Linked DNA regions of Arabidopsis thaliana. The protein of the gene in region 2 interacts with the protein of the main gene of each other region in a pairwise test. Each region holds a gene or a part of one and is shown on either strand. Other genes may lie near its edges. The genes, in order: TPR3, RAP2.7, COL2 and LKP2.

Region 1 (7,930 bases), on a different chromosome or scaffold from region 2:
ATCGCGGAAAGTGGTGTAGATCAGCTGGCTGTTGCATGCGTACACCGCTGAAGATATAGGAGCAGACAGCGAGTCTTGTGGAATCCACTGAGACATGAAAACAAGAGAACATAAGTCATTACAAATTTCAAAATAATGATTAAGAATATGTATATATGACCTTGCATTTCATATATACATGCCAGGTCAGAGATGATCCATTTTATATAAGTGGATTTACAGAGATGATCTCATCATAGTCATAGATACCTGTCGGATACATTCCATCTTGGAAGCATCAAATACCGCCAGTTGTGTCTCGTGGACTACCAGAATACGCAACTGATCCACATGAAACTGAACCCGCGTGTCTCCATTGGCGGCTTTTCCTGCTGGCATTTGTATTGCAACGGATTTCCTCTTCTCCCATGTGTCAATGCTCCAAAAGCAGATCTAAGAGAAGACAACAGGAAGAATAAGTATCCTCCTAGATTAGATAAGTCTAATGGTAGAAAATCCAGCAAGGAAACAACACAAAATAATCAAGCATTTTTCCCTTCAGTTGAGATATATTTACTACAGGACAACAACAACAACAACAAGACGCAGCATAACACACCTGTGCATCAGCACCAGATGAAACCAAGATGTTGAGGGCTGTAGAAAATGCTAGGCCTGTGATGCGTTTCTGGTGACCCTTTAGCTTTGATTTGACCTGATGGAACACAATATGCAAGTTTCAGATCGTTGATAGAGTTTTAAGGCAACATTAGCAGTGAGGGGAAAATTAAACTGTAAAACATATGTGAAGCTATGAGAACCATTTCTTCAAAAAACGTAAGGTTCACAAGTTTTTCCTTGTCATAGATCAAAAAGACTACATAAGTGGCAATGGTTAGTACTAGAAACTACTTACCTCATCCACTCGGACATTATAGATGTGAATCGTAGAGTCTTCCATTCCAATGGCGATGACGTTATTGTCCTGAGGATGGAACGCCAAAAACGTTGATGCTGGTGGAGGCGGCATGAATGTTGTCATCACCTATAAGGCCAATAGTTTTTTTGTGGAAATTAGAACAACCAAAAGAGTTTACTAGATTAGTGTGAGAACATTTTCAGTTAGAAATCTTGTGGCTTTTTTTAAGTTCATATAGATAATATATACCTTAAAAGTCATCATGTTGAACAACGAGACTTTTCCTCCAGCAGCAGACATGACATATGAGTCGTTCTTAGAGAGAGCGATGCATGGGGCAGCGTTTTCAAGGTTTACACCAGACACATCATTGGTCATAAGAAGACCACTGTTTGGTTGCCAATGCTGAGGAACAACAGTAGCAGTTGCCTGCATAATAAACAGTACTTAAATAAAACCGCACACAGCATGCATTAAGCTATCTCTAACTCTTTAAAACCGCAGACAGCATGCATTAAGCTCTCTCAAACTCTTTTTTACGATTACCTTTCCACTAGGGTTCTGCTCATTGGGAACCCACTTCCAGAGTCTCTGGATACCATTGGAACCTAGTGCCAAGATTCCAGCACCGGAATTCGTATACAGAAGCTGAACAACCTGCTTTCCCACGCAGCATGAGAAAATTAAGCCTCAATTTCAAAACATTTATAGAAATCCAACAACTTTCTGAGAAAGATAACTGCACAAACCTTTGTGGAAGAACCAGCGGTATCGGGTAAAGTAGCTTGGAAACACTGGGAAGGGTCCAAGATTTCAGCTAATTGCCAAGATTTTGGTTTGTCTGTTGAGTCATCGATTCTCGACTTTGAGGGATCAACTCCATTCTTGAGGATATTCAGAAAAAAAAGATTAGTAAATATTTTTTTTAAACATGACAAAAAAATCGGAAACAGTCAACTACTATAGTCAGAGAATAGTAAACTACAATTTCGACAAATGGAAGTTCACTTCATTTACAACCGAAAATCCAGAACAGAATAATAAATTATAGAAATGGCTAGAAACATAGCATTTAATGAGTGATTTTACCAGCATTTGTGAGTGTCTAACAGGAGAGCCTCGTTCAACTTTACAATTGACAGACGCAACAGGAGCACCAGGAACCTAACAGAATATACCAAAGTGTGTAAACCGAGACAGCTTGTAATGACAGTGGATGTAAAAAAGGGAAAAAATGTAATACAAAGTTGAGAAACATTACAGCTTTGAAATCAACTGGAGTCCTCATCGTTTCAGAAGCTGGAGTTTCCATCGCTCGAAGAGATCGGAAACCAGCTGGATTAGCTAGGATCTTAAATCCGTTATCTGCCGTAGTAACGGCTAGAAGATTGCCGTCCTTGTTAAATCTCAAATGGGGAAGAGCCTGAAGTTGGGACAAGTTATATGCAAACCTAAAAAGACGAACATCCAAGCAACAAGCCATGGGAAAAAGAATCTTTGGGACTTACCGGAAGTCCACCCTCAGCATCAGTGCTAGTCAGAACATTGATGTTGTTCATATCCCAAAATTTGATTTGTCCATCTTCACCAACAGCCAGAAAATGGTTTTTTGAGGTATCGAACTGAACCACACCTGCCAACTTTTTCTGAAACTCTTTATACGTCCTTTTAATTGATCCTTCACTTTCATTCCACTCAACTAGGAAAGAATCTCCATCTTTACTCGTTCCACAAGAGAACAATCTGAAGGGGGAAAAAACATCAGAAAGCACTGAAAAGGTAAACTTAAAACAGAAAGATAAGATTAGAAACTCAAGGACACAACTCAGTATCCTCCGGAGTAAACAAAAGAATCTGAAGATTTTGGAAACTGAGGAGTGAAGAACAAGCGGTATAGAAGAGGGAAATGTTTATGAGTTTAAGATCTTACCTAGTACCATCAGCACTGTAAAGCATCCTCGTACACCATTTACCGGGAGCATCATAGTCAACTCTGGAACCCAGATTATCATAAAGCCAGGCTTTTATTTTCCCATCTATGGCGGTTGAAAATATGAACTGAAATCCAAATAAGAACGAGATGTATTTTGGTAAAGAACAGAAATTCATAGGCAAGATAATACTATATGAAATGTGTCGTCTACTTTATTGTTCTTCAAACGGATTGGTAAAACAGTATAATAATTGATGTAAAATATAGTTTGATTCAATCCTTGCCGCACCTGAATGTTCTCTTTGTAATGAGGGCAAATGGAATAAACTGGAGCGTCGTGGCCTTCAAAAGTAAAATGCTTCCGACCAGAAACATCCCATACCTGTTCCACATTGATCAAGTTAGCCAGCTGCATTGATATCTAACAGTGAAACTTTGTGACTCTTTATCTCACCTTGATTAATTTATCATCTCCGCAAGTAATTACACATAGTTGTCTGTTTGGATTGGCGAAAGCCAAGTCGTTCACAGCACCGACATGGGCATCAATCTGTGAAAAAGTGATCTAGTCTCAGTGGGATATTATTACATCGCAATATTTCTCGTACAGATCACAAGTATGCTTACCTCAGTATGTTGGCGAAGATCATTAGGTCCAGAGAAAGCGTACAACTGAATTAGATGTTTTGTAAACGCAACCCCTGCACAATAAGAGACTGAGACCAGAGACCATAGACAACATACAATTAAAATCCAACAATGCATGACGGGAAGCTTACCAATGAAATTTCCATCCGGACTCCATGCAACGCGAGTGACAGATATCGGTGTTTCTTTAGCTATCAAAGCCTGAATGATGCCAAAAGAAAGGCAAGTATAAGAATCTTGCACAGCAACTAGTTTGCTGATACGTTTTATCTCCAACACTTCTCATAGCCATTTGGTTGAATTCCGCCTTTATACATCAAACACATAAACTAAAAACTTCTTAGCTGTAAAGACAAACCTGAAACTGATGTGAGCAATTAGACATATCCCATATCTTGAATGGCCTTGAAACCAGCCTCTCTCGAGCGGCAAGTTCCCACAATGTGATTTCTCCCGTCGCAGATCCAACTGATGGCATTCAAACGGTCATTCAGAAAGCCAAATAAGAGATAACAGAAATATAACTTCAAACACAGTTTAGAATTTGTATTCTTTTTTTCAAACCCCCATACCAAGAAGTAACGTGTTTTGCATAGGGTAGAACTCCATGCTTGTCACAGTGGACCCTTGATGCAGCGCCAGAGCTGCCTTTGTTGGCAAATCTTCCAGCGACCATGGAGCTTGCTGCCTAGGAGCAGGATATGTCACCTGGAAAATGATAAATGCTTAGAATTTTGAGAAGATGCAAGAATTATATAAACAGCTTTCCAGAAAAAGAAAAGAATTCGCGTTACCTCCTCCACAGATGGAGCAGGGCGGAGACGCTTCATTAGTTCATGATCAGGATTCTGATAATCTACTATACCTGGAGTTGCTGGTGGTGTTCTTGGTCGCTTCAAGATTGACACTTTTTGGAAGAAAAATAATAAGTTTTTGATGGAAACTGAAATGATAGTTATTGATAAGTCGAGGATTAGAAATCTAGAGGATCGTCAAAAACTAACTTTGATTCTGAGGTTGAGGCATCAAGGCAGGTGTAACAACGGCAGCTTGGACAGCAGAAGCACCAGAGGCAGCAGCCATCCAACTAGCTAAAGCACCAGCATTAGCAGCAGCAGGACCAGGTGGAAAGGGCTACATGTAATACAGATTCCACAAACATTAAGATTAATTTAGATTCAAAAAACATGATTAAAGCAGTCAAACATCGAGGTTTCTTACAACATGAGGTCCAAGTGACGGATAAGCTGCTGGCTTCGTCAAAGTAGTAACAGGCTGATTGACTGCTGAAGGTGCGAGAGGACCATTCGGAAGTGTGCAAGTGTGGTCTGTGAATAGAGTTTTAATATCTGGGTTTGGCCTAGGATTCTTGCACAACTGGTGCTGCCAATTGAGGCTGCAAGAGAACATATGCACAATGAATCATCCAACAACGAAGTCATCCAAACCTCATCTGCAACATACAGAATGGTCATGAGGAAAGAAAAAAGAAACACACCTTTGATTAATCAGAGTCCGCAGTCTCGAAGATCTCAAAGTAGGGAACATCAATTTATCACGAAAAAGTGGATTCGCTTCAATTAGTTTTTTAAGTTCGCCTAGCATTATGCCCCGAGCAGTTTTAGTGTCTCCATATTTTGAAAGCTGCTCATTTTCCCTGCAGATTCATGAAAATCATTGATGTCAAATTTCAATCCACAAAACGCAAACAATCGAGAGAGAAACTCGAGTATCACACCCTCTTTCACATCCAAACAAAAACAGTCTACAAAGCATCACGAACTCGACTTGGACTGAACCTAAACCAAGTCTCATATTCCTACTTTCCATAACAACAGAAACATCAACAAGGAGAGATCAAAATTCAATATATCATACCTAAAGTTTTGCAAAGTTAAGAGTTGAGTGATTTCTTTGTAAAGCTCCTCATTGAAAGTGGAGAAAACTCTCAAATCTTGCACTAGTATCTCAACTGCTTTTGCCTTCTCTTGCCTGTAACAACAGAGAACATCAAACTCTAAAACCACAAATCTTCAAGAGTAAAAAAACAAATAAGACAGCTTATAATCATACCGATCAAGAGCCTCGAGATACTTCTGCTTCCTAATTTCAAAGAAAATCTTCATAGAGTATCTGTTATCATCAACCTTAGTAAAACCTGACAAATACGTCTCAACATCATCCCATTCTCCAGCTAGAACTTTCTCATCAAAATACTTGGTATTGAAGAAGAATCCTGACTCTTTCTCAAGCCTATATTTAACAAATTACAAATCAGTCAATCCCAAAATTCAGCCTCTCACAACACAACACAAAACAAACCATATAAATAGACTAACCTGTGCACAGATTCCTTAAATTTCTCTTCCTCCAGAAATTGAAGTATCAGAAACACCAACTCTCGACTCAACGACGACATTCTCAACGAATCTCAAATCTGACGAGAAACGAAGAAGAGAGACGACGAAAGAAACACGAATCCGAGCTCTGAAGACACGAGCCCAGGTAAAGACTCTGATTTCGAGGATTTCTAGGGTTTTGAAGAGCTCTAGCTTTTAGAGAAAAATGGAGAGAGAGAGAGAGAATATATAAAGAAGGAGGAGAAGATTGGGGGATTGAGAAACTTTAGACCTCGCTTTCTTGGACGCGTTCTTCTTTGCACAGAGACATCGTTCTACCGACTTATCAGATATAAGCGGAGTCTTCGTCGGTGATAAGTAGGCTTCCTTATAAGAGAGGTAGGTTAAGTTATTATCAAATTGAGTGATAAGTTGATTTGGAGATAGAGTGGCGGATTCGAAAACAAAATTCAAATAGTGTGAATATTCTGTGCACACGTCCAGTCTGGTCCCCACATTTTTCTCTCTCCTTTATTATGTCGCTCTCAGCTTTCGATGCACTCTTCGTTTGGCTTTTCTCATATTATCCTTTTTTTCTTTTTCTCGCGATATTTTTGAGATCTCTTTTTCGCAAGATTTAATTAAGTGTTCGTGACAATTACAATGTGGACAATTCAACATCTCGCAGGTTACGTCATATATAATTATATATACTCATATTATAATCTTTGCTTTTTTTTTTAGGCATACACCAGGAGAATTACTCGTGTTCTCCATGGCGAAATGAGATTATTTATAAAAGAAAAACATAATATGGATTTAGAAAATAGATATTTGAAAAGAAAAATAATAAAAAAAGGAAAATAATATTTTTAATATTTCTTTTTATTTGATTTTTTAGGAAAAACATAAATATTAAAAAAAGACATATTAAATCTTGTTTTTTAAATGTACTATTTTTTATAATTTAAAATTTTTAATAACTTTAAACCAATAATATTCAATAATTTTTATTGAAGTTTACAATTTATCAATTATAACTAATAAGTATTGTATTGAAAACCTATAAAATTAATCTTTTTGAAACATTTTTTTTCTAGAAAATCAAATAAAAGAAACATATGGAGTATGAAAATAACTTATTAAGTATATATAAAATAAAATTTTATAGAGGCCGAATACATTAACTTTATTAGAATTAAGATTTACAAGTATTTAAGAGATAGAAAAAAATGATTAGGATATAACAATATGGTTTACATGTATATTCTTTATACGTCCTTTTAGTATGGAAGTACTCGTGTAGCTCTAATTTTGGAACTTTTTTTTTGAAATATTGATTTCGCTAAAGATTTAGTGAATGTATTTGCTAACTGATCACCAATGGAGACATGAGTAATCTGAAGCATTCCAGCTTGAATTAAGTGCTATATATATGGTTCATTCGAGAATAGAAAACCGGATTGGTACCGAGGTAAGTGGCACCAACATTTTCACAATATATCATATATATTCTTTATACCATTTAGAATTGTAAGCTTTGGTACCATATAGAGGCTAAATGTATTGACTTTATTTTAGAATGAGATTTACAGGTATTTATAGAGAGATAGAAAAGTGATTAGGGTATACTAATGAGAACAATACAATTTACAAATATATCTTATAAATTTAAGGATAAATGTCAATTTTCATTTTTTAAAAACACGATAGATACAAATCGAGGTTAATTCTTCAAAACCTAACTTAAGTAAAATAAGAAATTTGATACTATGTTTCCTAACTTAAGTAAAATTTACTTATTAACATAAATGTAGAAAATATTTTTAAATTTGTTTTTTTCTTGATAATTTAAGGATAAACTAGGTAAGAATGCGTGCCATATATGGATAAATTATATGATATTACATTTTATAAATTCTGTACTATTTAATTTTATAAATAGTTTTATTAATAATATTTCCAAATGACTCTATTTTTAATATGAAGATGTTTAATATTCAAATTTAAAGTGCATTAAAAATCAAAGCATTAAATTATAAAAATGTTATATAAGGTAAAAATCTAAATTTGGAAATTCTAGATATATTAGAATAAAATGAGGTGTGTTTG
Region 2 (5,395 bases):
TTACTCTACATAATGTAAAGTAACGTTGTCCACATAAAATAAAAATCCATACATACGAGAAAGAGAAAACAGAAGAAAACAAAACTATATACAATACACAAGTTGTTAAATAATGAGAGAATCACGTGTTCTTCATGCACATGTAAGAGACTATGAAATAAGGATAACACCGTAGATAATATCTTATTGATCAAATGAAGCCTAATCTTTTTTTTAAGATTAGCGTTAAGACAGATATTCTCTATATTTGAGTAAATCCCAGCCGTTGGATCACTGACCTATACCTTATTGACCAATCCCAATCGTTAGTACAATGCCGTCCAAGAAAGAGAGCTTGCAATCGCATGTTTTAGATGTATGCTATTAACCCTAAATCCTCAATTTCTCGATCTCAATCTTGCTATGTGGTGGGTGATACATCAATGGTAATTGATATATTATTCTTTTATATATTTGTGGTTTTGTTAAAGAAGGTATCAAATCTGATGCTCTGAAAAAGTGTGATTTTTTTACTGGATTTTAGTCTATGTAAGTATGTATTATGGACAGAGTTTAAACTTGAATCCGAACCATTTAAGACCGGAAAAATTTCATGCTATTCTCAAACTAAAAGAAACGATTAACCATAATTAGATCTATTAAAAGTGGATACATCAATCAAATAATAATATGGGCTGTGATAATATAGTTGTATCAATACTCGGGACAAAAATGCAACACGCTACAATGGTAGATTCAATTATACCGTATGAATGAAAACATTGCATGTGGGCTACTTCTTACGAAGAGACATGTTCACTTCCAAAACTAGTACTAGTCAAATGATTCGACATAACCTGAATACCAAATGCTATATCAAAAATGGCAAATATTCAACTAATAACTAAAAAGAACAATACTTTTAATTTTCTTATTAAAAAAGTTCTAGATAATAACCTTTTGAGATTTGATTTTCGAAGATATTAATAACGGCAGATTACTAAATGCAAAATTACAAGAAAAAAATTTATATTATGTGATTTTCTAGTAAATGTCGATTCTACCGTAGTTGACTACGTGTTGGCGATGAATCTTCTGAGCGAATTTTCGGGAAAGTTTGACAACATCATCTATGTCATCAATCACCATCCCCCGCTTCACTGAGGCATGATCAATGCTCTCATGGTAGCATACAAAGTCAAACATAAGTCATACTCATCACCCACAATTCTACAACAATATGCTTATCATAGGACATTAAAATCAAGGACGAGGAAACTACAAGAGCTAAAGACATCGCGGACAAAACCATATAAGTAGTGGTTAATACAACAACCGTTCACTCATACGATTAGCACTATAATAACACCTCGGTCATATACACTAATCAAAAATACCAATCCACTAATCCTAGACCTATGACTCAAATACCATCTGCCCATGTCCAAGTCCAACATCCCATCCTCTAATGGCATACTTGGACCAATATCCATCAAGCCAAATTGGTGCACACACTCAATCTCAAAACACACCAACGTACATTCCTAATTAACTCATGCAATCAACACTATGTCACCCCAAAACCCAAACCAAACGACGTGAAAAAACATGTAACACACGAACCAAATCACATTTTACTCTTGTTAACATTAACGAATCAACTACACCTACAAAAATCTAATGTAACAAGCATGGGTTAAAAAAAACAATACTGCAGCGATCATTACTCTTGTTTTGGTCGGAACTAAAAGTTGATGTTTCATTTCATGTATTGTATTGTCTCCTTTGAAAACCAAAGCATTGACCAAAAGCAGTACGTACCGGCAAAAAAAAAAAAAAAAAAAACCGGAAACTTACTTAGCCGGTATACCACTGCCAAAAAAGGACCAACAACAATATGTTAAAATTTTATTATAAAGTTATTATACACATTTATAGTTACAGAGAGAGAAAAACAACTTTATTATAAATAATGATCATCCTCTAAAATTGGGTCTGAAATGTTCCCTCACACGTCTCCTTCTATCTTCTTCTCCACTTTAAAAAAAAAAAATATCCGTCTCACTCTCTCGCCGCCGGTAACATTTCCCGGCGACAAAACTTCTCTACTCTCACCATTCCTCCATCGTAATCTCTAAATTCTTCTCCATTCTCTTCTTCCTCCCGATCATCTCGAGCTCTTCGTGAGAGATTATGTGATTATGTAATCGTTGTTGCTGTAGAAGACGATCTCTAACAACTGATTCCTTCATCATCACCTTCGCTAGATTTGTAATTTTCAGAGCTTGAGATGTTGGATCTTAACCTCAACGCTGATTCTCCCGAGTCGACTCAGTACGGTGGTGACTCATACTTAGATCGGCAGACATCAGACAACTCCGCCGGGAATCGAGTGGAAGAGTCCGGTACATCGACGTCGTCAGTTATCAATGCCGATGGAGACGAAGACTCTTGCTCTACTCGAGCTTTCACTCTCAGTTTCGATATTTTAAAAGTCGGAAGTAGTAGCGGCGGAGACGAAAGCCCCGCCGCTTCAGCTTCCGTTACTAAAGAGTTTTTTCCGGTGAGTGGAGACTGTGGACATCTACGAGATGTTGAAGGATCATCAAGCTCTAGAAACTGGATAGATCTTTCTTTTGACCGTATTGGTGACGGAGAAACGAAATTGGTAACTCCGGTTCCGACTCCGGCTCCGGTTCCGGCTCAGGTTAAAAAGAGTCGGAGAGGACCAAGGTCTAGAAGTTCACAGTATAGAGGAGTTACTTTTTATAGAAGAACTGGTCGATGGGAGTCACATATTTGGTAAGTTTTTTTTTTTTGTTGTTGATGATAATACAAGTTTCTCGATTTAGTAATTTTTATCAGTGAGATTGATTCAATTTTTTTTTGTTTTGTAGGGATTGTGGGAAACAAGTTTATTTAGGTAAATTACAATTTTTGTTAAAATTTTGATGATTAAGATTATTGATTCATGGTTGTTGATTTATATAGGTGGTTTCGACACTGCTCATGCTGCAGCTAGGTAATTTTTGGATTATTATAGATAAAAGTTTTGTTTTCGGAATTGTTAAGGTTTGGATTTTGATTAGTGTTTGTGTTTTTGTAGAGCTTATGATCGAGCTGCTATTAAATTTAGAGGTGTTGATGCTGATATCAACTTTACTCTTGGTGATTATGAGGAAGATATGAAACAGGTTTTTGGATATAAGTCTTTTGTTTTGGTTATATGATTGTTTTGAGTAGTTTTTTTTTTAACTGTGTTATCTTCTTGTTTAGGTACAAAACTTGAGTAAGGAAGAGTTTGTGCATATACTGCGTAGACAGAGCACGGGGTTTTCGCGGGGGAGTTCGAAGTATCGAGGGGTTACGTTACACAAATGTGGTAGATGGGAAGCTAGGATGGGGCAGTTTCTTGGTAAAAAGTGAGCAATTTTGTTCTTTAATATGAACTTTTTGATTTTAGAAAGGGTATGAAACTAGGAATGGTGTCTAAGTAGTGGTTAGGTGATTAAGATGCTTGAATTGCAGGTATATTTATCTTGGGCTGTTCGACAGCGAAGTAGAAGCTGCAAGGTTCCTTAATGATCATTGTTTGATAGAAACCTTTAGTAGAACTTCACTTTGTTTTTATCAAAGCCAACATGAAGTTTCTTTCTTTCTAAACATTTTCTTGACAACAGGGCTTATGACAAGGCTGCAATCAACACTAATGGTAGAGAAGCAGTCACGAACTTCGAGATGAGTTCATACCAAAATGAGATTAACTCTGAGAGCAATAACTCTGAGATTGACCTCAACTTGGGAATCTCTTTATCGACCGGTAATGCGCCAAAGCAAAATGGGAGGCTCTTTCACTTCCCTTCTAATACTTATGAAACTCAGCGTGGAGTTAGCTTGAGGGTAACTAACTTTCAAATACCAATCTCTCATGAATTCAAAACGTACGTTTCTTATCGTCTTTTAAACAAACTGCAGATAGATAACGAATACATGGGAAAGCCGGTGAATACACCTCTTCCTTATGGATCCTCGGATCATCGCCTTTACTGGAACGGAGCATGCCCGAGTTATAATAATCCCGCCGAGGTAAAAACATAGAATCAAAGTGAAACAACACAATGTAGTCGCAAGACAATGAAACAATGTTTGTTTTTTCAGGGAAGAGCAACAGAAAAGAGAAGTGAAGCTGAAGGGATGATGAGTAACTGGGGATGGCAGAGACCGGGGCAAACAAGCGCCGTGAGACCGCAGCCACCGGGACCACAACCACCACCATTGTTCTCAGTTGCAGCAGCATCATCAGGATTCTCACATTTCCGGCCACAACCTCCCAATGACAATGCAACACGTGGTTACTTTTATCCACACCCTTAACTTGTAAGGGGACATATGAGAGTTTTTTTACCATCTCTCTCTCTCTCAACACTCTAGTCCCCTTTCAAAAATGTCATTTGGGTTTTAGATTTTTCACATACAATGATCAATTTTTCCAAATTCAGATGAGAAAATGTGTTTTTTTTTACATCAAAATTTGGTTTGTTGAGAAAAAACTTTATCAACTAAATGGTAAAAAAAATGTGTATGTTTGTGGTAAATTTTAAATCTTCTCAAAATGTCTTTACCTAATAAGGTTTGTTTATGTGAAAATATGTTTTTTTGGTAAGAGGACTCTTGAAATTTGGAAGGTACAATTTGTAACAAAAAATAAAATATGAGGATGAAGTTTTGTCGTTTTATGTGAAGGTTTGATAGTATAAGATATTTTGATTAAAATAACACTGTTGAAAAGAACAGTAAAGAGAGATAGTGATAGGTTTTGGCTGCCTCTTCGGAACCCCGAAACGATTTGGCAAAAACATTACATTCTTATTTGTATACATATTCGGATATAGTGCCAAATCTAAATGCTTATTCTATAGTCACGTGTGAAATGTATTGTACTTAACTATTCAGTGAGTCATGCATAATATGGTTTAAACTTTTGGAATAGATTAGATGCTCTGTATTTTCTAAACTATATCAACTAAACAAATAATTAGGAAATATTTTTAGTCAAATGGTTAACGGTAAGTCATTAAACCGAAACGTCCACAAATGACGAAGATCCTAGGATATTTGTAAAAATTTAGTACTTTTTAAAAACAAGGACGAAACATTCGAACTACTTTTTTTTGGGCTACGTTGGTTTTTTGTTATATAGTCAACAAAAAACTTAAAGAAAATGGTGTAGTTGTTATGCCAATTGTCAAGCTAAAAGAAAAATAAGAGATTCCCGATCTTCTGTTCTGTCAAATCAAATCTCTAAGTCTATCTACCGTTCCGGGTAATGTAATAATATTCAGTAAAGATGTCATGTCTTAAAGAAACTAAATTTATTATTCATAATATTCCAAAAATGGCCCTTTCCTATGACTCG
Region 3 (4,873 bases), on a different chromosome or scaffold from region 2:
ATACTTCTACCCTCTCTACTTTCTTATTGTTCCATCCCTGCCCAACCTTTTCCTCATCTAATGTCGCAAATCCAGCCTCCTCGACCTTGCAGTCACTTTCCTCGTCGTGACACTCTTCTTCAATTTCTTGTAAGTTTTCTGTCTCTCCATCTTCTCTAACAGTACAGTTCAGGTCATCTTCTCCTACGGTGCTTTTCTTCCTTAACTCAATCTCCACCTGCTCTACCCTCTTAGCCCCACCACCAACCCTCTCATATTCTTTATCACTTCTTTCACTGCAACCTTCTTGAGCTTCTTTTTCATTTTCATTTTCTCTTTCTCTTTCAATATCTTGTGAGTTCTCTGTTTCTCCATCTTCTTTATCAGTGCATTTCAGGCCTTCTACTGTGCTTTTCTTCCTTAACTCAATCTCCACCTGCTCTACCCTCTTAGATCCATCGCATTCCTTCTCATCTTCTTGATCACATATGTCATCACTTCTTCCACTGCAACCTTCCTGAGCTTCATTTTCCTTATCTTCTTCAACATGACAGTTCTTCAAAACCTCTTCTCCGGCATCATCATTTCTAGTCTCCTTGGATGGCTCCTCATCCATTTTCTTCCTCTTTGCACGGCTTTTCCGGGCTTGGTTCAGGACCATCTCCAACTCCAGAAAAGACTCTCCACCAATTTCAGTCGTCTTGCTTCTGGTAGACCTTGTAGTTCTCTTCTCATCTTTAACCTCCAATCCAAAACATTCATTTTCTATCTGCTTGCTCCTTGTCACTCTCTTCCTGCTTTTCACCTCTGAGATTTCCACTGCCTTGGGAGTATCCTCAACTTCCAATTTGATTGATTTCTGGACAATCTCACTGTTCTTACCTCTCCGAGCCCTAGAGTTGCCTTTTTTCTCCTCCACAACTTCTTCTTCCTCCGTAATTGCACTACTTGCGTTCTTCCGGGGCCTCCCAACCCTTTTTTTCTCCTCCACAACTTCTTCTTCCTTCGCAATTGCACTGCCTGCGTTCTTCCGAGGCCTCCCAACCCTAGCTTTGACCACCTTCTCAATTTCCACATCCAATTCCTCTTCTTTATCGGCGATATCGTCCAGATTCTTTTTCCTCGAAGCCCTAGTACTCTTGGGCAGTTCATTTTCCTCTTGCTTCGACGATCCACGCGTGCGCTTTGGTTTCTCCTGAACCGACTCAATAGGATCCGGATCCGGATCCGAAGCAGCAAGCCGCTTGTTGTTCCTCCTTGGCCTGGGCGGAAGCTTATGCTCCTGCGGCGCCTGAACAACATCACTCCCAAAGTTCACCAAAATGGAAGTGTACTCACCAAGCTTAATTTCGTCTCCATGGCTAAGATTGACGGGCGTATCTGAGTCGATAGTGTCAGAGTTCAATATGGTGCCGTTGGAAGAACCAAGATCGTGGATTATCCAGTTCTCGGAATCGGAAACGATCCGGAGGTGCTTGGTGGAGATTCCGGCGTCTTTGATGGCGATTTCATTACCACGGACGATTCGACCAATTCGGATAGTGGATCCGGGTTTAAACCCTAGAGAATCGCCAGCTCTTGGACCCTGGGTGAAGTCGAGCTTCAGCAATGGCGGAACCATCGTGCGTCTCGGGGAAGCTTTGCTTTGATTCAAAATAATGGAATTTTGAAATTTCGGATTTATGTCAAACTCAAAATCGAACGGAACAGTCCTGAAACAAAGAAACCCTTTCAAGCCCAATGGGCTTTTGCATTGTACAAACTATGAATATACAGTCCAGTCCATAAGTTACCAAAATATCTTCTTGTTACTACAGAGTACAGCCCATCCAAGTTTTTTTTTTGTTGTTGTTGTTGTTGTTGTAAAATGATGATTTATGCATGATTGACTATCAAATTGAAACAAGAAATGAGTTATAGTTGATTTAGATATATTATATATATAATATTTGTTGATATAAGTAAAAAACCAAAACAAAGGGAGTAAATATTCATTTCATGATCTAATAATTTCCCAAAAAATTAAATTACAATTTTGGCAATATTGTTTCAGTGAACAACTGAAAAACTCAACTTATCAACATTACTCCACAATTCACAAAAAAAAAAAGATTTATTTCTTGGTAACTGGAAGTGATGTTGATATAAGCTAATATATAACATTATAACTTGTGGCTCATGAGCATCCTAATCTCTTCACTAAAGGCTTATTTGTCACATTCTCATTGGTCACTCTAGATTCACCACTTTGCCATGTCAGCTTTTTCTTCTCATCCACCTGCAAAACAACATTTAAAACCAAAATGAGTTTCACTTTTATGTATTACTTTGTATAATCTTTGGTCACTACCTGATTACTTACCATGTATGTTCCAATAAGAAAAGTTTCCATCTTTGCTTAAAAGCAAAAAACTAAAATACCAAAAGATTCAAAAAAAAACCAAAACAGTAAAAGTAAATAGCAATCTCTGAGAATCTTATCCACGTCAGCTCACGGGTCCTACAGAGAAAGCTACAATAGGAAGAGATGTTTTCACTTACAGAAGATTTACTTGGTCTAGATTTGTTCTCCTTTGTGAAGGTTATGAGAAAAAAACTTTTTTGATGATTCATGACCTTGTTCAAAACTCAGACAGCCACAAGATGATCCAACTACTTTTAACAACCACTAACTCTGCGCCACGTGTATATCTCCAAAGATTCTATCTTTCCCCTCTCACCACCTAGATATAGTCTCATTAGCCTTCCCTCCTTTCTAATTACAATCTCTCCTTTTGCCAACAATCATTGCTTAAAAAACACATACCTTCTTCTTTAGTTATAAAAATGTTGAAAGAAGAGAGTAATGAGAGTGGTACTTGGGCACGAGCATGTGACACTTGTCGTTCAGCCGCCTGCACTGTCTACTGTGAAGCCGACTCTGCCTACTTGTGCACCACCTGTGATGCTCGAGTTCACGCAGCCAACCGTGTTGCTTCTCGCCATGAACGTGTTCGTGTCTGTCAGTCATGTGAGTCTGCCCCAGCTGCGTTTTTGTGTAAAGCAGACGCTGCGTCTCTTTGTACAGCTTGTGATGCAGAGATTCATTCCGCAAACCCACTAGCTAGACGTCATCAGCGAGTTCCGATTCTTCCATTATCTGCAAACTCTTGCAGCTCCATGGCCCCAAGTGAGACTGATGCTGATAACGATGAGGATGATCGAGAGGTTGCTTCGTGGTTACTCCCTAATCCAGGGAAAAACATCGGTAATCAGAATAATGGGTTCTTGTTTGGTGTTGAGTACCTTGATCTTGTGGATTACAGCTCCAGCATGGACAACCAATTCGAAGATAATCAGTACACTCACTACCAGAGGAGCTTTGGAGGAGATGGAGTTGTGCCGCTTCAAGTTGAAGAATCAACAAGTCACCTGCAACAAAGCCAACAAAACTTTCAGTTGGGTATCAACTATGGATTCTCCTCAGGAGCTCACTACAACAACAACTCCTTAAAGGACCTAAACCATAGCGTAAGCTTTTTATACACTTGCCAGCTCTTTAGTTCACAATAATCAGTATGCATGCTGTGTCATCACAAGTATGCTTCGCTATACATTGATTCTTTGCTCCTATAACCTCGGAAGATTGAAACTGTCTTTGTCTCTGTCATTAGGCATCCGTTTCATCAATGGACATCAGTGTTGTGCCAGAGTCAACTGCAAGTGACATAACAGTCCAACACCCAAGAACTACTAAAGAGACGATAGACCAACTATCTGGTCCTCCTACTCAGGTGGTGCAACAGCTTACTCCAATGGAGAGGGAGGCTAGGGTCCTGAGATACAGAGAGAAGAAGAAGACAAGGAAATTTGACAAGACAATAAGATATGCTTCAAGAAAGGCATATGCAGAGATAAGACCACGGATCAAGGGCAGATTCGCAAAGAGGATAGAAACTGAAGCTGAGGCTGAAGAAATCTTCTCAACATCGCTAATGTCTGAGACTGGATATGGAATTGTCCCTTCCTTCTAAACTCCTATGGCGAAGATAGACTAGATTGCATGCTGTAAATTACTTCTAGTTTGGATTTCTACAAGTTATTACTGCATATGGGTCCTTAGTTTTGTGACTTTTGTCAAACTAGTACGAGTTTAATCAGATATGTTCCTATAGCTGCAGTTGTTTAAGCAACATCTCGCTACATAATTGAATTGGTGAAATCTTATCATATGGAACAGTGCCTATCATATCTAATTGAATTGGTGCCACATGAAAGAGATATGCATCACTATGAGTAGCTGTAAGTAGAAAACTAAAAGCGGATTTCAAGTTGTCACTTCACAAGAAAGACAACGCCTAGTAGGTTCAAAGTAAATACCTTTCGATTATTTTCTGGCTGTAGAATCTTCTGTTTCTTGATACTTTCCAGATCACAAGAACACGTAAATCGCAGGTCAATTCCACATATGCCAACTCATTCCCTGAGGAAGGATTATTCAGAATAACATGATTTGTAATTTAAACAATTAAACTGATAACATAGAACAACTTTGTCCACACAAACTTAAGAAACTCCAAAAACCAACATGCAAATCAGCATTAATTGTCATTTTCGGTTAACGGGAATCATAAGTTAACGTATTCAGCCAAGTGGGAGTAAGATAGTGAAGATACTGAGAACCCTAATATACACCAGCAACTAGCATAGGATGTTGATGCCTATGCCAAATTCAAGTAAAGAAGGATAATTCTTTCTCTTTACCTTTTGGAATAAAGGACTATACTTTCTCACTTTTTATGGTATGTGCTGACAGTAAAGGATGATAGAGCAACGAAAAAGAAAGCACGACATTTAACCAAGCCTTACTGTTTCCCATCTGGAAATGTTCACAGAGCTCAACATTATTATACAT
Region 4 (5,252 bases), 4.0 Mb from region 2:
CACAGGCTTCTGAGACACAGCGGAGGGAGATTCAGGTGGTTTAGGAGTCGCAGGAGGAGTCATAAAGACAGTGTAAGGACCGATTTTTCCGATAACAGGAGGAGGTGTTGATGGGTCTTTGTTGATCGGCATCTTGAAAGTGTTAAATTGAGAGAAAATGAAAGAGAAAGTTTTCAGACAAGAATCTGAGATTAAGAAGAAGAAGAAGAAAGGTTCTTGCTTGCTAGTTGTAGTTGCAAGTTGCAGACAGTGAAAAAGTGGAAGATTAGTTTCAGGGGAGAGAGTGAGGTTTTGGTTCGTCTCTGTGTTTTTTTTCTTGCAAGTGTAAATGTACTTTACTTTTCACACTGACCAATGAAAGAGTCAAACACACTTCACATTTCTTGCATTCTTTTTTTTTTCCTGCTTTTTCCGACGAATCTTTCTTTTCTTTTTTTTGGTCCTTTTTTTTCTTAATAATTCTTCAAAAAAAAAAACAATTATTATATGATCCGTGGAGAAAAGATCTAAACCCTAAACACAATAATTTTGATTTCAATCAGACATGAAACATTTTGGGAGGACAAAAAAAAAGGTTTGGATTTAGATCATTTGGCCACTTGCACTACAAAAGACGTTATGTACAATCCAATTCGTAATATTGCATATACAAAAAAAAAACATTAAGTCAACAGATGAACAAAACATGGACGTATCAAACTCACCATGTACAGACAATATGAACATGTTTTTGATCAATGTATAGATCTTTTGTCCAACACATCTAAATGCCTTTTTAACTTCATCACTTGATCAAGTACTTGCAGTGGTAGAAGTTGCTAGTAACAGTTCATGTGCTTCATTTAACATCCACTCTTCACCGGTCTGACCACCTAATACGACCAATCGAGTTCCTCCGACCACACATGTTGTGTGTCCCCATGCAAACCTCGGCGGACCTCCCTGAACATTCAGTATTCTCCATGCCGGTTTCTCCTCATTTGGATCAAGAAGATAAAGCTGAGAAGCCGAGTCAAGCCCTGCAACCGAACCACCAAAGATCAAGATTCTACCACCGGGAAGGCTGATTGCCACATGGTCCAGCCTTGGTGGTGGAGCTGCCATGCCTCCGGGGAGGCTAGATCCATACCCAATCACAGGTCTCCAACTCGGTTCATCCTCGCTAAGATCCATCGTGTATACATCGTTAGAGCGGAATCTCAAAGTACCGTTTTTAGCTAGACCGCCAAACATAAGAATCTTGCGGTCACCATAGACAGTTAGAGTATGCCCGAGGCGAGATGGGGGAGTCCATGGAACCGGTATCTCCCTCCAAGCAGGTATATCCATCGATAGGTCAAGCAGGAATGTATCGCTGAGTAGAGCTCCTGAATCAGCACAACCACCAGATACAATCAGCTTAGTGCCATCAAGTGTGCACGAACTGTGCCATGATCTTGGTATTGGAGGGGCCAATCCGGATACTTCCCTCCAGCTTGGTGGGTCTGCATCAAGGTCTAATAAGAACACATCATTGAGTAATCCGTGGCTCCCGTAACCTCCAAACACTACTAAACGGGAACCGTTGACACAAGAAAGTGTGTGACCCCAGCGACCCGGAGGAGGAGAGCTGACCAGAACAGATTTCCACTCGGGACTACTCGAGCCAAGGTCCAACACAAATGTATCATTCATCGGCTGCATATTCACACCTTCCCCGCCAAAGATAACAATCCTGTTCCCAACTGCACATGCGCTGAAATTACACCGAGAAGGCTCAACAGTACCTCCAACTGAAAACTTCCTCCATGCTGTTGCTTCGTGAGTGGTGAACTCTCGGGCCAGTCGCACCCAACCAATCCTTTTTGCACCGGGAACACTCTCAAGAACACGTGTTGCCTCGGTACCCCATGTGTTTTGACAGACCATTCTCCACACATCATCATTCTTTGTCAACTCATTGAGCCGCCTACATACACAACCAACCGATGCAATATCACCAGGAGTCAACTGTGACAATATCTTGATAGCTATTACTTCATCACTCAGTTCGAATATCCCACAGAGTCCACGAGAAACATTACGCTCTCCGATTGGTAAAGCAGAAGTAAATGAGCGAGATATTCTAGGAATTTCTTTTGCAGATAAATCAGGAGATGGGCCAAGATCAATTTTTGCATCTGTAAATAAGAGAACGCCTATGAAATGAGTGATTTCGTCTTCTTCACGGATAGGGACTAGACGCAGCTTGTTCATCAAGGGAGATCCATCTTTCCGAAAGTTGAGCAACTCGCCTTGAAACTCGATGCCATTTTCTAGACATTGTCGCATCTTCGCTACAATTGTAGAATCTACCATTGGATGCCTTCTTTTAGTAAATGGCCCTCTACATTGCAAGAAACGGCTGCCAAATAAAAAACAACAGCACAAATCAGATACAAGACCCTCCTATTCAATTCATCGAATAGATAACTAACAACTAAACAGATACAGTACTTTGGCGAACAATTCCTCACACACAAGTATTGAACAAAGACTAAACTATATGCATAATTAACATGGAATACCAGATCAAAAGCCGCTAAAACCCAAGAGAAACATATTCAACAGAAACATATATACTTAGACAAAAACGCATTACAATTCAATATTACAAAAATCAATAATCCCAAGGCTTTCATAAACCAATCAAGACATGTGAAAAACTATCAAAGTTCGAGTTCCTAAACACTAATCCACAGACATAGGAAACATTACAAACTGAACCTCACATTATAGCTTAGTTCCTCCACAACAAACTTCTAATTCAATAACCAACCCATGATTCCAAAATGGTTCTAGCTAATAATACCTAACATAATCAACAAGAACCATAATAATGAATCGAAATATAAATTTCTTTCTGTCAAAACAGCTTTCAACAAAGCTTTCTAGTAACATCGTACCAATACCACAAATGAGACAAAATTCGCTACAGTAAAACAAAATCAACACCACAAATTTAGGGTAAAAGTCAAGAAGAGCAAACTCACCAATTTCGACCAATAACTTCTTCAGCTCGATAACCAGTAACAATCTCAAAAACAGTGTTAACATAAATGATAGGGTTGTCAGGTTCAAGAGCATCGCTGACCACAAACCCACACGGCGCCGTGCCAGGAAGACTACCTACCGGAAACGGAATCGCTCCGTTATCTCCACCGAACCATCCATCCTCCGCCACTTCATCTCCACCGCTGAGATCGGAATCACTATCCCACTCCATTTGATTTTGCATACACACCCACAAAATAAAGCTTAAGCCCACTAATCTTCTTCCTCAGCAACAGGAGAAGAGACCCAGAAGAACAAAGTTTGATTTTGAATCGAGGAATCTGATATCTGTAGGTAATCGAAGTCTCCACAGGAAAAAAGTTCCAAACTTTAGACAAACCCAGAAATCGTCTTCTTCAGGAACAGGAGATAGAAGAACAGATTTTGAAATGGAATCGAGCGAAGAAAAGAGGAATCTGATATTTGTAGGTAATGGAAGTCTCCACCGCCCACTTCTAAGAGGAGGAGAAGAAGAAGAAGAGAGATGATTCGGTCGGTCGATGACTCGGCTCTTCTCAGTGCCTCTCCTTTTCCATCTTTAACCAGACCGGTTTCTTAATTTTACCTTACCGGTTTAGTTTATCTATCCGGTTTACACAAAATATCCTGTAAGTTTCTTATGAGATTTTTTTGGTTTTACCAAATGAGTGTATTAGAATCAGTTTTATTGATTTAAAAACATTAGAAACTTGAATTTATCATGAAACCATTGCATCCAAAACCCAATTCTTGCTCATCGAAACGTTCTCCGTCTTTGCTGAATCCAGTAATAGCTTCAAGCCAATCAATATTTTCCTCTTCTTCTAGAGCAACAAAAGCCGATGCATAGTTGGCTTGAGCAAGACATCGTACTGCAGCCCGCCAGAATGGTGTACGCTTCGGGACATCAAGACGTCTAAGAGCGTTAATAACATCTTGATACAAAAGTACAACACCCCGTCTTTCACGATACTCCGTAATAAAGTTTCCACTATTTTCGATCACGCTTTCAATGATAGACCTTCTTCGAGGTTGCCTTGCACGTCTAGAAGAAGTTTGTACACTGTTACGTGTTTGTGTTACGCCTTGGTTTTGGGTGGTGTCTGCCATATAATCTTGTGTGTTTAGAGGGTAGACATCATCTTCAACTATCCTAAAAGACGCTTTATGCAAATGGAAGAAGGCTTTTACTAAAGGTCAAACCACATTTTTCTGCGGTTTTGTCTTTGCTCTGCAAGTAAAGTTTTTATGTGAAACAAAAACTAATTATGTTGATGTTGATTATTTGTATAATGTTAATTGTTTTTTATTTTTTCGTGTAGGTATTTGCATTAGAGCGATTTACTATCTTTCAACAACTATTTCCATCCAGTTTTCCTTTAATGGTTGAGTGGGCAAAGATATATAAACCGTATACCAAAAATTGTGCCAACAGAAGTGGGGGACACTATCAAGAGATGCTTGTAGACATGAAGGAAGATGAGGTACCTAACAAAATTTCATCTCTTTGTCATATGCATTTGTTCTATATTAAATACTTAGATTATATTTTTTCAGATTAAGTGGCAGCCATATAGCAAAGTTATATTGCCCAAGGAATACACCTCTCAATTGAGTATGGTATTTGCACATGTTCCATGCATCTGCTTTAACACCATCGCATACAACCGAACTATTTGGGAGAGCCACTAAATAGTTTTCCGATTAGGAATGACGAGACCTTGGAGATGGGAGAGCCACCAAACAAGTGGAATGAAAGCAATAGATGGGTTGACCATTCACATGTCACTGAGGTGGTCGAGACTTTGCCGGAGAAAACCAGTAAATCGGCTGATGCAAATGTGAATTGTCTTTTTTTTTTTTTTCTAATACAAATGAATTTGGTTCTCACTTTACTTGATTTAACAGCTGGAGTCCTTGGATGAAAATCACAAGGAAGCGAATGAAGAGGAGGGAGCGAATGAAACGATGGGAGTGAATGAACAAGAGGGAGCGAATGAAACAGTTAGTCATTCTCAATAATACAAATGAATTTGGTTTTGTAACATATACTCTAGGATATTAGAAAACTAAATATTAATAACTGGCAGGAAAGAAGTGATCTTCGACTTCTTAAAAGAGGAAGAGACGAACTACTTAGAAGTGAAGGAAAATTAAAACCAACCGATAGATGTACTCCATCTTTTTCGCACCAGAAACAT

What was found.
Region 1: the proteins of RAP2.7 (region 2) and TPR3 interact in a two-hybrid assay, tested with the Arabidopsis thaliana proteins (2 studies listed by BioGRID).
Region 3: the proteins of RAP2.7 (region 2) and COL2 interact in a two-hybrid assay, tested with the Arabidopsis thaliana proteins (one study listed by BioGRID).
Region 4: the proteins of RAP2.7 (region 2) and LKP2 interact in a two-hybrid assay, tested with the Arabidopsis thaliana proteins (one study listed by BioGRID).

The regions. Positions count from the first base shown.
Region 1 is NC_003076.8:9,509,366-9,517,295, forward strand, and holds the start of TPR3 (TOPLESS-related 3), read right to left. Parts: upstream 6,043-7,930; 5' UTR 5,899-6,042; coding exon 5,819-5,898; intron 5,733-5,818; coding exon 5,553-5,732; intron 5,472-5,552; coding exon 5,358-5,471; intron 5,137-5,357; coding exon 4,978-5,136; intron 4,876-4,977; coding exon 4,701-4,875; intron 4,614-4,700; coding exon 4,484-4,613; intron 4,387-4,483; coding exon 4,274-4,386; intron 4,188-4,273; coding exon 4,052-4,187; intron 3,948-4,051; coding exon 3,838-3,947; intron 3,681-3,837; coding exon 3,459-3,680; intron 3,382-3,458; coding exon 3,286-3,381; intron 3,214-3,285; coding exon 3,121-3,213; intron 2,957-3,120; coding exon 2,829-2,956; intron 2,642-2,828; coding exon 2,407-2,641; intron 2,322-2,406; coding exon 2,160-2,321; intron 2,063-2,159; coding exon 1,988-2,062; intron 1,783-1,987; coding exon 1,648-1,782; intron 1,556-1,647; coding exon 1,445-1,555; intron 1,328-1,444; coding exon 1,148-1,327; intron 1,025-1,147; and 7 more. UniProt on the Arabidopsis thaliana protein: Transcriptional corepressor. Negative regulator of jasmonate responses.
Region 2 is NC_003071.7:12,225,126-12,230,520, reverse strand, and holds RAP2.7 (uncharacterized protein), read left to right. Parts: upstream 1-1,896; 5' UTR 1,897-2,269; coding exon 2,270-2,781; intron 2,782-2,876; coding exon 2,877-2,902; exon of another isoform or gene 2,903-2,930; coding exon of another isoform or gene 2,931-2,970; coding exon 2,971-3,001; intron 3,002-3,085; coding exon 3,086-3,173; intron 3,174-3,255; coding exon 3,256-3,401; coding exon of another isoform or gene 3,402-3,405; exon of another isoform or gene 3,406-3,507; coding exon 3,508-3,552; coding exon of another isoform or gene 3,553-3,659; coding exon 3,660-3,879; intron 3,880-3,954; coding exon 3,955-4,065; exon of another isoform or gene 4,066-4,137; coding exon 4,138-4,353; 3' UTR 4,354-4,865; downstream 4,866-5,395.
Region 3 is NC_003074.8:486,557-491,429, reverse strand, and holds COL2 (CONSTANS-like 2), read left to right. Parts: upstream 1-1,962; 5' UTR 1,963-2,155; coding exon of another isoform or gene 2,156-2,257; 5' UTR 2,258-2,341; coding exon of another isoform or gene 2,342-2,376; 5' UTR 2,377-2,474; coding exon of another isoform or gene 2,475-2,592; 5' UTR 2,593-2,805; coding exon 2,806-3,489; intron 3,490-3,590; exon of another isoform or gene 3,591-3,632; coding exon 3,633-3,992; 3' UTR 3,993-4,361; downstream 4,362-4,873. Other genes in the region: AT3G02400 (SMAD/FHA domain-containing protein), read right to left, coding at 1-1,600; AT3G02390 (uncharacterized protein), read right to left, coding at 2,156-2,257, 2,342-2,376, 2,475-2,592. UniProt on the Arabidopsis thaliana protein: Putative transcription factor. Does not affect flowering time.
Region 4 is NC_003071.7:8,194,000-8,199,251, forward strand, and holds LKP2 (LOV KELCH protein 2), read right to left. Parts: upstream 3,485-5,252; 5' UTR 3,257-3,484; coding exon 3,012-3,256; intron 2,384-3,011; coding exon 793-2,383; 3' UTR 513-792; downstream 1-512. Other genes in the region: AT2G18910 (hydroxyproline-rich glycoprotein family protein), read right to left, coding at 1-132; AT2G18920 (uncharacterized protein), read right to left, coding at 3,754-4,161.